Linked DNA regions of Drosophila melanogaster. The gene in region 1 interacts genetically with each later gene. Each region holds a gene or a part of one and is shown on either strand. Other genes may lie near its edges. The genes, in order: Usp12-46 and Ppt1.

What was found.
Region 2: of Usp12-46 (region 1) and Ppt1, changing one suppresses a phenotype caused by changing the other (phenotypic suppression), as found in Drosophila melanogaster (one study listed by BioGRID).

What each region holds. Positions count from the first base shown.
Region 1 is NT_033777.3:22,748,941-22,753,931, reverse strand, and holds the start of Usp12-46 (Ubiquitin-specific protease 12/46), read right to left. Parts: upstream 3,032-4,991; 5' UTR 2,566-3,031; intron 1-2,565. Other genes in the region: rumi, read left to right, coding at 3,408-3,543, 3,594-4,693; CG31139 (uncharacterized protein), read left to right, coding at 4,941-4,991. UniProt on the Drosophila melanogaster protein: Catalytic component of the Usp12-46 deubiquitylase complex.
Region 2 is NC_004354.4:8,688,022-8,692,075, forward strand, and holds Ppt1 (Palmitoyl-protein thioesterase 1), read right to left. Parts: upstream 2,207-4,054; 5' UTR 2,058-2,206; intron 2,026-2,057; exon of another isoform or gene 1,998-2,025; 5' UTR 1,959-1,997; coding exon 1,414-1,958; intron 1,274-1,413; coding exon 1,124-1,273; intron 1,068-1,123; coding exon 941-1,067; intron 882-940; coding exon 759-881; 3' UTR 606-758; downstream 1-605. Other genes in the region: CAH3 (carbonic anhydrase 3), read left to right, coding at 16-156; Ogg1 (8-oxoguanine DNA glycosylase), read left to right, coding at 2,467-2,606, 2,665-2,982, 3,044-3,530, 3,590-3,676. UniProt on the Drosophila melanogaster protein: Cleaves thioester-linked long fatty acyl groups such as palmitate from modified cysteine residues in proteins or peptides.

The DNA.
Region 1 (4,991 bases):
TCGTGCTGATAGCCAGCCGAATGCTTCTCCATGACACAGAGCCCATGACCAGATCCGCCGCATTAGCTACATATATGTGTAGTATCACCATGGTGTGCGTGCTGATGATAAGCGCACGGAGAATCAAATCGTGCGCCAGCCGATCAATAACCCAAAATGTAAACAAAACCAACTGTCGAACGCGGTCACGCATGCGTTCGAATAGCCTACTGAAATACTACCAATCGCAATTTGGCCCACTATTAGTTGGTTAACTGGTTTTCTTGCGAGGGGGAGAAGCTGACATTTCCAAGACGATCCGCATTCTATGCAGATTAGAGCCGCCACCGCCGAAAGGCAAGCGATTTTCCAGCTGCGCGAGCAGGAAACTCGTTCCGTTCGCAGGTTAATGACACAAACATTATGTTATTAATGCAGTTGCAGTATATGGCCATTAGCTAACAAAACCCCACCGATGAGCTAATGATGTACGAGCGGTCAGTCAGCAGGCACGCAATATAATCGCACTGAATTATCTACGGACAGGCAATTTCGAAACATCAAAGAATTCGAAAGAAGCTGACACAGCTGGACATGCGATGCGCAGCGAAATGGATATATTTTCAGTCTCAGTCTGCGGCAGAAGAAAGTGTGTGGAATTGAATTAACAAGACGGCAACAATTTCTAAACAAAAGCGTGTCTTAGAGGGCAATATATGTGGAAATTGTAGTAAAATTGATAAGCTCTTAAAATCTCATTAAAAATAAAACTATAATAATGAATCCAGAAGTTCCGAAGAGCATGTCAAAATAGCAACCCAGCCCTGAAGCTAACAGAAATTCAACACACCACTCGGCAGGCGAGTTACCGCTCTGGAAAAGCGATTTTCCAATGCGCAGGCTCACTCATCAGTCAGGAAATTACGGAAAAATGCGAGAGGGTGGAGAAATTGTGTGCGAGAGCGGAGCATAAATGAAAATGTGTTACAGCCACTTGGCTGGCAGGGAAGGAAGGTAGGGAATCTGCATAAACTGCCTATGCCACGTTATGATGAATCATCTGGTTGGGTTAGGCATGCCACATTTCACGTGAACTTCGGAGTGGGAGTTGGTGGAAATGGGTGGTTATCGGTGGTGGGCGGGGGTTCAGTCATTTGCCTGCCCAAAGGAGTGGAGTACATAAATGATGTATGACCCAAGCCAGACAGCGTGACTGCGGCTAATGGCAGCTGTTTTAGCTGGCCAACGACCATTTGGCAGACGTTCTACGGAAAGCATTCTTCGATTATTATCTATAATCAATACAAGAAGTTACGACAAACGACTTCCGGCATTACACAAACGAGAAAGGTTGCCCAAAATGGAAATCAATCGAGTCATTAGAAGGCGAGGGTCGCCACGCCACTGAAAATGCAAATGATTCGAAGTTTTTCTCCCAAGAACCATTGATTGGAAACGCTAGTCGAGGGGCTCCCAATCGCATCGATACGTCTGAATGCGCAGAAAAGATTTACGTGTGACTTCGGTTCCAAAAGCTTGATTATGACCACATATATTTCCATAAACAAAGCGAAGCTTTAGTCAGCGCCAAGCTCGAATTACTGTGTTTGTTTCTTTTTTTTTTTTTTTTGTATTTAACGTTTTCAGTATTTCGATATGGTGTTCCAAACGAGTTTAACGAAAAGACCTCAAAGATAGCCAAGTTAGTTCTTAGTCACTGCAAGGCACAGATACAATTCAACTTCCGCTAACTTTCATCAACAACAATGTTGAATCTGATTAAGATATCATACTACATTATTACAACGAAATGAGTACATTAAATAAGTTGGAGATTACTCCTAACATACTCTAATCCATGTTGTACAATAAGATTTAAAGTAAGCCATTAAAATGGTTTATACATACATATATCTTAGGAAAATGAAAGAGATGTTTAGAGTTACGGAAGTAGGCCTGCACTGCAGAACTCCAGTAGTGCACCTCGCTCGTGGCTAGCGATAATTATCAAGTTAATAACTCAACACTAATTAGTCAGGTGCTTTGATGGACGGTCGGGCTGGTGCGGGAGGGGCGGGGCAATGCGACCCTAGGTCGCGGACCAAAAACAAAAAGCCAGTATATCGCGCCGTCCAATGTGAAAACGAAAGCGATACGATTTTTTTTTGTCGGCGAGCAGGAAAATCGGCCGCTGGATGGGAAACGAAAATCAAAGTCGAGAAACGAAAAGCCCAGGTGGAATGCGGCGGAATGGGAAACTGGAGCTCTCGAAAGCAAACCAAATGCCAGGTAAATTAAATCGCAGCATCGGCGGCGGTAGCAAATCAACTTAATGACGATGGCTGGCAACTTTTCCAACAGTTTTTTCTTCCATTTTTTTTCTATTTTTTGTATTTTATCTGGCGATCGGATCGTGAGGTGAAATGAATTTAAGTTGCCTTTTTTAGGAGCCACAATAAAGGGGCTAAAAAATCGATGAGTGCTCAATTAACTGTTATTCGTAGTACGCCCACACACACACTCACGCGCGCGCACACATACAGATGCAGATACACTTGCAAATAAATAAAAATACATATGTATTACCTTTTTTAGTTGAACTTTTGGTGGCTTTTTGGCAATTGTCTCAACAAAACAACATCGTTTTCGCAATTGGGCCACTCCCACTACGATTTTTCGTTGCCAATATTACAATCCGGGCTTTATTTAGTTGCCCACCACTGTTAAATACAATTTACTTTTTGCAGTTATGTCAACTTCTCTCTTTCAGCGCGGCGTCCTTTGTTGTTGTCGTTGCAAAATTGTTCGTGTAAATTATGTACAATGGTGGTTGTTTCAGGTTGCAGGTGGTCTAAAACACTCGCGTTCGTTGGGTTTACGTGGTTTCGATTGCACTAGGTGCCGCACGCATAATTTGCAAATTGCAAATCGTCGTTTTCGTTTGTAATTTGGCTATTGGCTGGCTTTAACACGGAGAAAACTTTCGACGTTTCTTGTTGGTTTTCTTATAATGGTTGGATCGGCCAGTGTGTGCACACCGCGTCAAAAGTAAAACTCGGCGAACAGTTACTCGCATAGGGTGACCATCACATGGATGGTCATACAAAATAATGGTTACTACTGCAGGGCTTTGCCTGCAAATGCAGTGACATGGTCTGCCTAAGAAAGTAACAGTTCAATCACTGCTTTGCTGCCTGGGCTGCCAGGTAACAAAAAGTTATTAAAAACACAACTACTTCTCCTCTTAAGTTATTTGCAGCTAAATGGCAGAAAGTCTTTTATTTTCTACATCAATTGTAGACATTCATTTTACTTTAAAAACTATGTCCTTAAAAACATTTCTGGAATATCGATAGTTTCAGTTGACTTGGCAACCCTATTGCTGACGCCGCAATCAAAGGCCAACAAATTTGTTTACATCCAAAGAAATGCTAATAAATCATTTAATAGTCGTATTATTAATTAGTTTGGTAGGAACAGGAGGTGCAGAAGATGACGGACTTTGCAGTGCCGATCAAAAATCCTGTGCACAAAGTGAACCCGACCAAATAAACGAGGATGAATGTAAGCAACTTGTTGCCGGCTTCGATTAATTAATTAATCAATTAATTTAGTTAGCTTCAAGATACGTCGCCAGATCGAAAAAGCCAATGCCGACTACAAGCCGTGCAGCAGTGATCCCCAGGACAGCGACTGCTCCTGCCACGCAAATGTTCTGAAACGGGATCTCGCGCCCTACAAGTCAACAGGTGTCACCCGGCAGATGATCGAGAGTTCAGCGCGTTACGGCACCAAATACAAGATCTACGGACATCGCCTGTACCGGGATGCCAACTGCATGTTCCCAGCCCGCTGTGAGGGCATTGAACACTTCCTGCTGCCGCTGGTGGCTACGCTGCCCGACATGGACTTGATCATCAATACCAGGGACTATCCGCAGCTGAATGCGGCGTGGGGTAACGCGGCTGGTGGTCCCGTCTTCTCCTTCTCCAAGACAAAGGAGTACCGCGACATCATGTATCCAGCGTGGACATTCTGGGCCGGAGGACCGGCCACCAAGCTCCATCCTCGTGGCATTGGACGCTGGGATCAGATGCGCGAGAAGCTGGAGAAGCGAGCGGCAGCTATACCCTGGTCACAGAAACGCAGTCTGGGCTTCTTTCGCGGTTCACGCACCTCGGACGAACGTGATTCTCTTATTCTGCTCTCGCGCCGCAATCCGGAGCTAGTCGAGGCTCAATACACCAAAAATCAGGGCTGGAAGTCGCCTAAGGATACACTGGACGCACCGGCTGCTGATGAGGTGTCCTTCGAGGACCACTGCAAGTACAAGTACTTGTTCAATTTCCGCGGTGTGGCCGCCAGTTTTCGTCTGAAGCACTTGTTCCTCTGCAAGTCGCTGGTCTTCCATGTGGGCGACGAGTGGCAGGAGTTCTTCTACGACCAACTAAAGCCCTGGGTGCACTATGTGCCGCTCAAGAGCTACCCCAGTCAGCAGGAGTACGAGCACATCTTGTCCTTTTTCAAGAAAAACGATGCGCTGGCCCAGGAGATCGCTCAGCGTGGATACGACTTCATCTGGGAGCATTTGCGCATGAAGGACATCAAGTGCTATTGGCGCAAGCTGCTCAAGCGATATGTGAAGCTGCTGCAATACGAGGTTAAGCCGGAGGATCAACTTATTTACATAGGGCCTAAAAAGGATGAGCTGTAGCGAAATGAAATGTTATTGTGTTTAAGCATTTCTCATTTTGTATTAAGTTGCTTAGAGCAGCGTGAATCTCTCTGTCCGCATTCCATGCATTTTTGATGTCCAAGATTTAGAGAACAACTCGAATATTTTCCTATTTATATATATAGCATTTATACAATCTTTATAACAATCGAAAGCCATTTGTTTTAAGACTCAAAGTTTAAAATATATTTGGAAGAAATATGTAAATTCTCTTTAAATTTTAATTATGACCCAGCCAAGGATATGCTTTTTAGTTGGAGCCCTAATCCTCTCCTGC
Region 2 (4,054 bases), on another chromosome or scaffold:
TCTTTTGATTTGCAGGTTCAGGTGTTTCGCAATTTGCAATCGTGTCCCAAAGATGAGTCCAAAAAGATAGTCAACAATTATCGCGAGATCCAGCGTCCGCACAAGGATCCGGAAATCTTCTTTGCGCGCAACACCAATCCAAAGTCCAAGTTATAATGTGCTTGCCATATGACTTGGATACAATTCTACAATTCCCGCTCCCGCTGACTTTCCTTTTTCCAACCTTTCGCGCAATTTTCTCCGCCCAATCGCCTATCTAAACTATAGCTATGTGTAAACATTTATCTGTCTATGGTTGTCTGTAAGCTGCTTTTGTTATTTGCCTCATGTACATAGCGTTATATACCTAACAAAACATACATATACATACATACATATATATATATATATATATATATATATATATACGGAGTATTTACGATACGGATACGTGTATGGAATTTTAGTCGGAGCACGCGGTTGCCTTGCATTGAATATTTCAGAGAAATATCGGGCACAACTACTTAAGACATCTACAAGAGACGTAATCCTAACGTTTAAGTTATTAAGATAAACAGTGAAAGCGAGAAAAAGAGGAAAATAAGAACAGTAAATCAACACATTTTGTATGTCCAAACTGAATTTATTAAACATCTAATTAAACATGTATAAAAGTATCAAAAAGTCATTATTAATATTAAAATGCTTATGTTAATAGGAAGAATGGATTAAACCTATGCAAACATTTTTGTCACAATACGTGCTTTTTGGGCACCATCTTATTTTTCGAGTAAGAGAGGCACTATGTTCTGGATAAACCAGGCCTTGGATATGGCCAAGTGATCACCTTCGACGCCGAGAAAGACAAGTTGTCCTTGTCGATGCATCTTGTCCAGTCCCAGCTTTAGGAAAAAATGTACATTTCATATTAGAACGTTAGGTGATAGATATGCATACGTACATCCTGATAGACTTTGCTCTCAGTAAAGGGCTGGATGACTTTGTTCTGCCCAGTGGTGTAGTATTGAAACCACTGGGACTCCTTCGGCTGGACAATTGTGTCGTTTAGGAACTGCACCATCACAAATCTGCAAAGCAGAGGTTAATAATATTTGATAAATGTATAAGTATAATACGCGCTTACTTCTTAAGCTTTTGCAGATTCTCAATGTAGAACTTGTTGATGAAGAGCTCGTTGTTAATGTCCGCGAGAAATGTGCTGCCCAGGCGGTATTTGTTCTCCATGATCGGGTCGTGCCAGTAGGTGGCCTGAACCAATGCCTTCTGCACTTCACTGGGTGTATGGTATGCAAGAGAGAAGAGAGAATTAACACGGAAACGACAAGGATGGCGACATGGTGGTGTTGGATTAATAAGCATGTAAATTCCAGGAATTATATTATATTAGGATTCCTTAACAACAGATAGACTCACGGTGCGTAGGCGGCGTTGTCCAGTAGCCTCGTGATATAATCACAGGGCTTTTCGGTTAAGGTGGGGCACATGGGCAGTCCGAAGATGCCCTGGTGCTGCCCACCGAGTGTGATAAGGTTCCTCATTGGCGGATTCGGGCAACGTTCGGCAACCGCACGCAGAAACTGGCCGCCTTGCGAGAATCCGATGGCGTGGTATCCCTTGGCCAGGTGCTCATCCTGCAGTAGTTGCTTGCAAACGTAATCCACCTGTTCGTTGGGATGTATGAAGAAGCCGCTCTGCCAGTCTATCAAAACATTGCCGCCGATCTGCAGGGATCGCACATAGCCGCCCTTTGTTTGCTCCACGATCAGGTTCATAATGGCACCCAGGCTGAAGGGTACGCAGCAGGTGTCGCCCATTCCGTGCCACAGAACGACCGGCAGGACCTCCGGATTGGTTCCTCCTTTCGTCGGGCTCCACCATATGTAGCTCAGCACGAGGGAAAAGATCAGGAACAGCAAAAATAAAATGCATGAAAAACGAGAACAGCAGATAGAAATCATTGTTGTTGGAGTGCAATTTTTGCAAATCAAATTAGTCGTCTGCTATCGATAATATATGGTTCGATAATATAATCGGGATATTTCATGTACGGGATGTACCTGGTCTTATTTATACCTAAAGGTAATTTCGTACTGCGTGCTTTAACGCAACATGAAAAATACTGCAACTATTTTTCCTTTCAAGGCAACAGGCTTGACTATATAACTGTTCAATTAGGTGCATTTTTCGAAGCCCTCGTCTACATTGCTGCATTTATTGGTACTTTATTGTGCAGCTGTGAACAGAAAATTTACATTTTCCAACACTGGCGTCTAAGCAAAAGTAGAATGTTGTGAATACCCCGAACGGTAAACAAATGCTAAACAGCTGATAGCAATAACACATTTTATTCAGCGAGTTTGTTTCTTTCGATTTAAACTCGAGTTTTAATGTGGTTTACTATTTAAACGTGACAAAGTACTATTGTTAAGTATGCCAAAACACGGCTTAAGTTGTTTATAAAACCGGATGCTGGCTCATAACCTAGGTTTCCATAAAAAGCGCCTTTTTTCAAACATGAAGGCTGTTTTACAGGATCGGGGTGTCATAGGCTTATCCCTCGAAGAATGCGATTTGGAAAGAACTTTGCTTGGAGGACAGAGTTTCCGGTAAGCGCTATCCATACTAATAATGAACATATGTACTCAAAACAACTTTACATGCCAGATGGCGATCCATATGCGATGGTAATAGAACGAAATATGGCGGAGTGGTGTTCAACACCTACTGGGTGCTCCAGCAAGAAGAATCCTTCATAACTTACGAGGCATACGGAACCAGCAGTCCTTTGGCCACGAAGGACTATTCTTCCTTGATATCTGACTACCTACGTGTTGATTTCGACCTAAAGGTCAACCAAAAAGATTGGTTAAGCAAAGATGATAACTTTGTGAAGTTCTTGAGTAAGCCTGTGCGCCTCCTTTCTCAGGAGCCGTTCGAAAACATTTTTAGCTTCCTTTGCAGTCAGAACAATAACATCAAGCGGTAGGTGGTTCAATCAAATGCGAATCCCATCATTAAATACAGTAAATTGGTTTCTTCTTAGCATATCATCTATGATTGAATGGTTTTGCGCTACATTTGGCACCAAGATTGGTCACTTCAATGGTGCCGATGCGTATACATTTCCCACGATAAATAGATTCCACGACATCCCATGCGAGGATCTTAATGCCCAGCTAAGGGCTGCCAAGTTCGGTTATCGGGCCAAGTTCATAGCACAAACGCTGCAAGAGATCCAGAAAAAGGGGGGACAAAACTGGTTCATAAGCCTAAAGAGCATGCCGTTCGAAAAAGCTCGCGAGGAGCTGACACTGCTACCCGGAATCGGATACAAAGTGGCCGATTGCATCTGCCTTATGTCAATGGGTCACTTGGAGTCAGTGCCCGTCGACATTCATATTTACAGAATTGCCCAAAATTACTACCTGCCACATCTAACCGGCCAAAAGAACGTAACCAAGAAGATTTACGAAGAGGTCTCGAAACATTTTCAAAAGCTACACGGAAAGTATGCCGGTTGGGCTCAAGCTGTAAGTACACTGAAAGTTGCAATTTAGTCTGTGTGTTTCTTATAATATCATTATTTCAGATTCTCTTTTCTGCCGATTTGAGTCAATTTCAAAATACTTCCACAGTTGCTTGTAAGAAAAAATCCAATAAAAAACCTAAAAAGTGATCTTATCTATTGGATTAAAAAAAAAAATATTCCTACTTGTAATATTTGAATATTAAAATATAATAGAAATGTATATACTAATGTATATATAAATATATATCTAAACAGAGAAAGAACTTGATACTGGGTTTCATATATCTTTTTTTTATTGCTAAACAGATGTAATTGATTAAATAAAGTGTACATTAAATGTCCGTTTTGTATATACATCGCCATATTTATGTGTACAGATTGCGCTCGAATTTGAAATTTAGGATATTCAAAATGTGTTGTGTCCGTTTTAGAAATTCATCACCTAAGGAAACCACTTTTAGATACGCATACAGATGTTTAGGATATGCTTATGAAGTGGTTATTCGAATCTTTTATTGGAGTGAG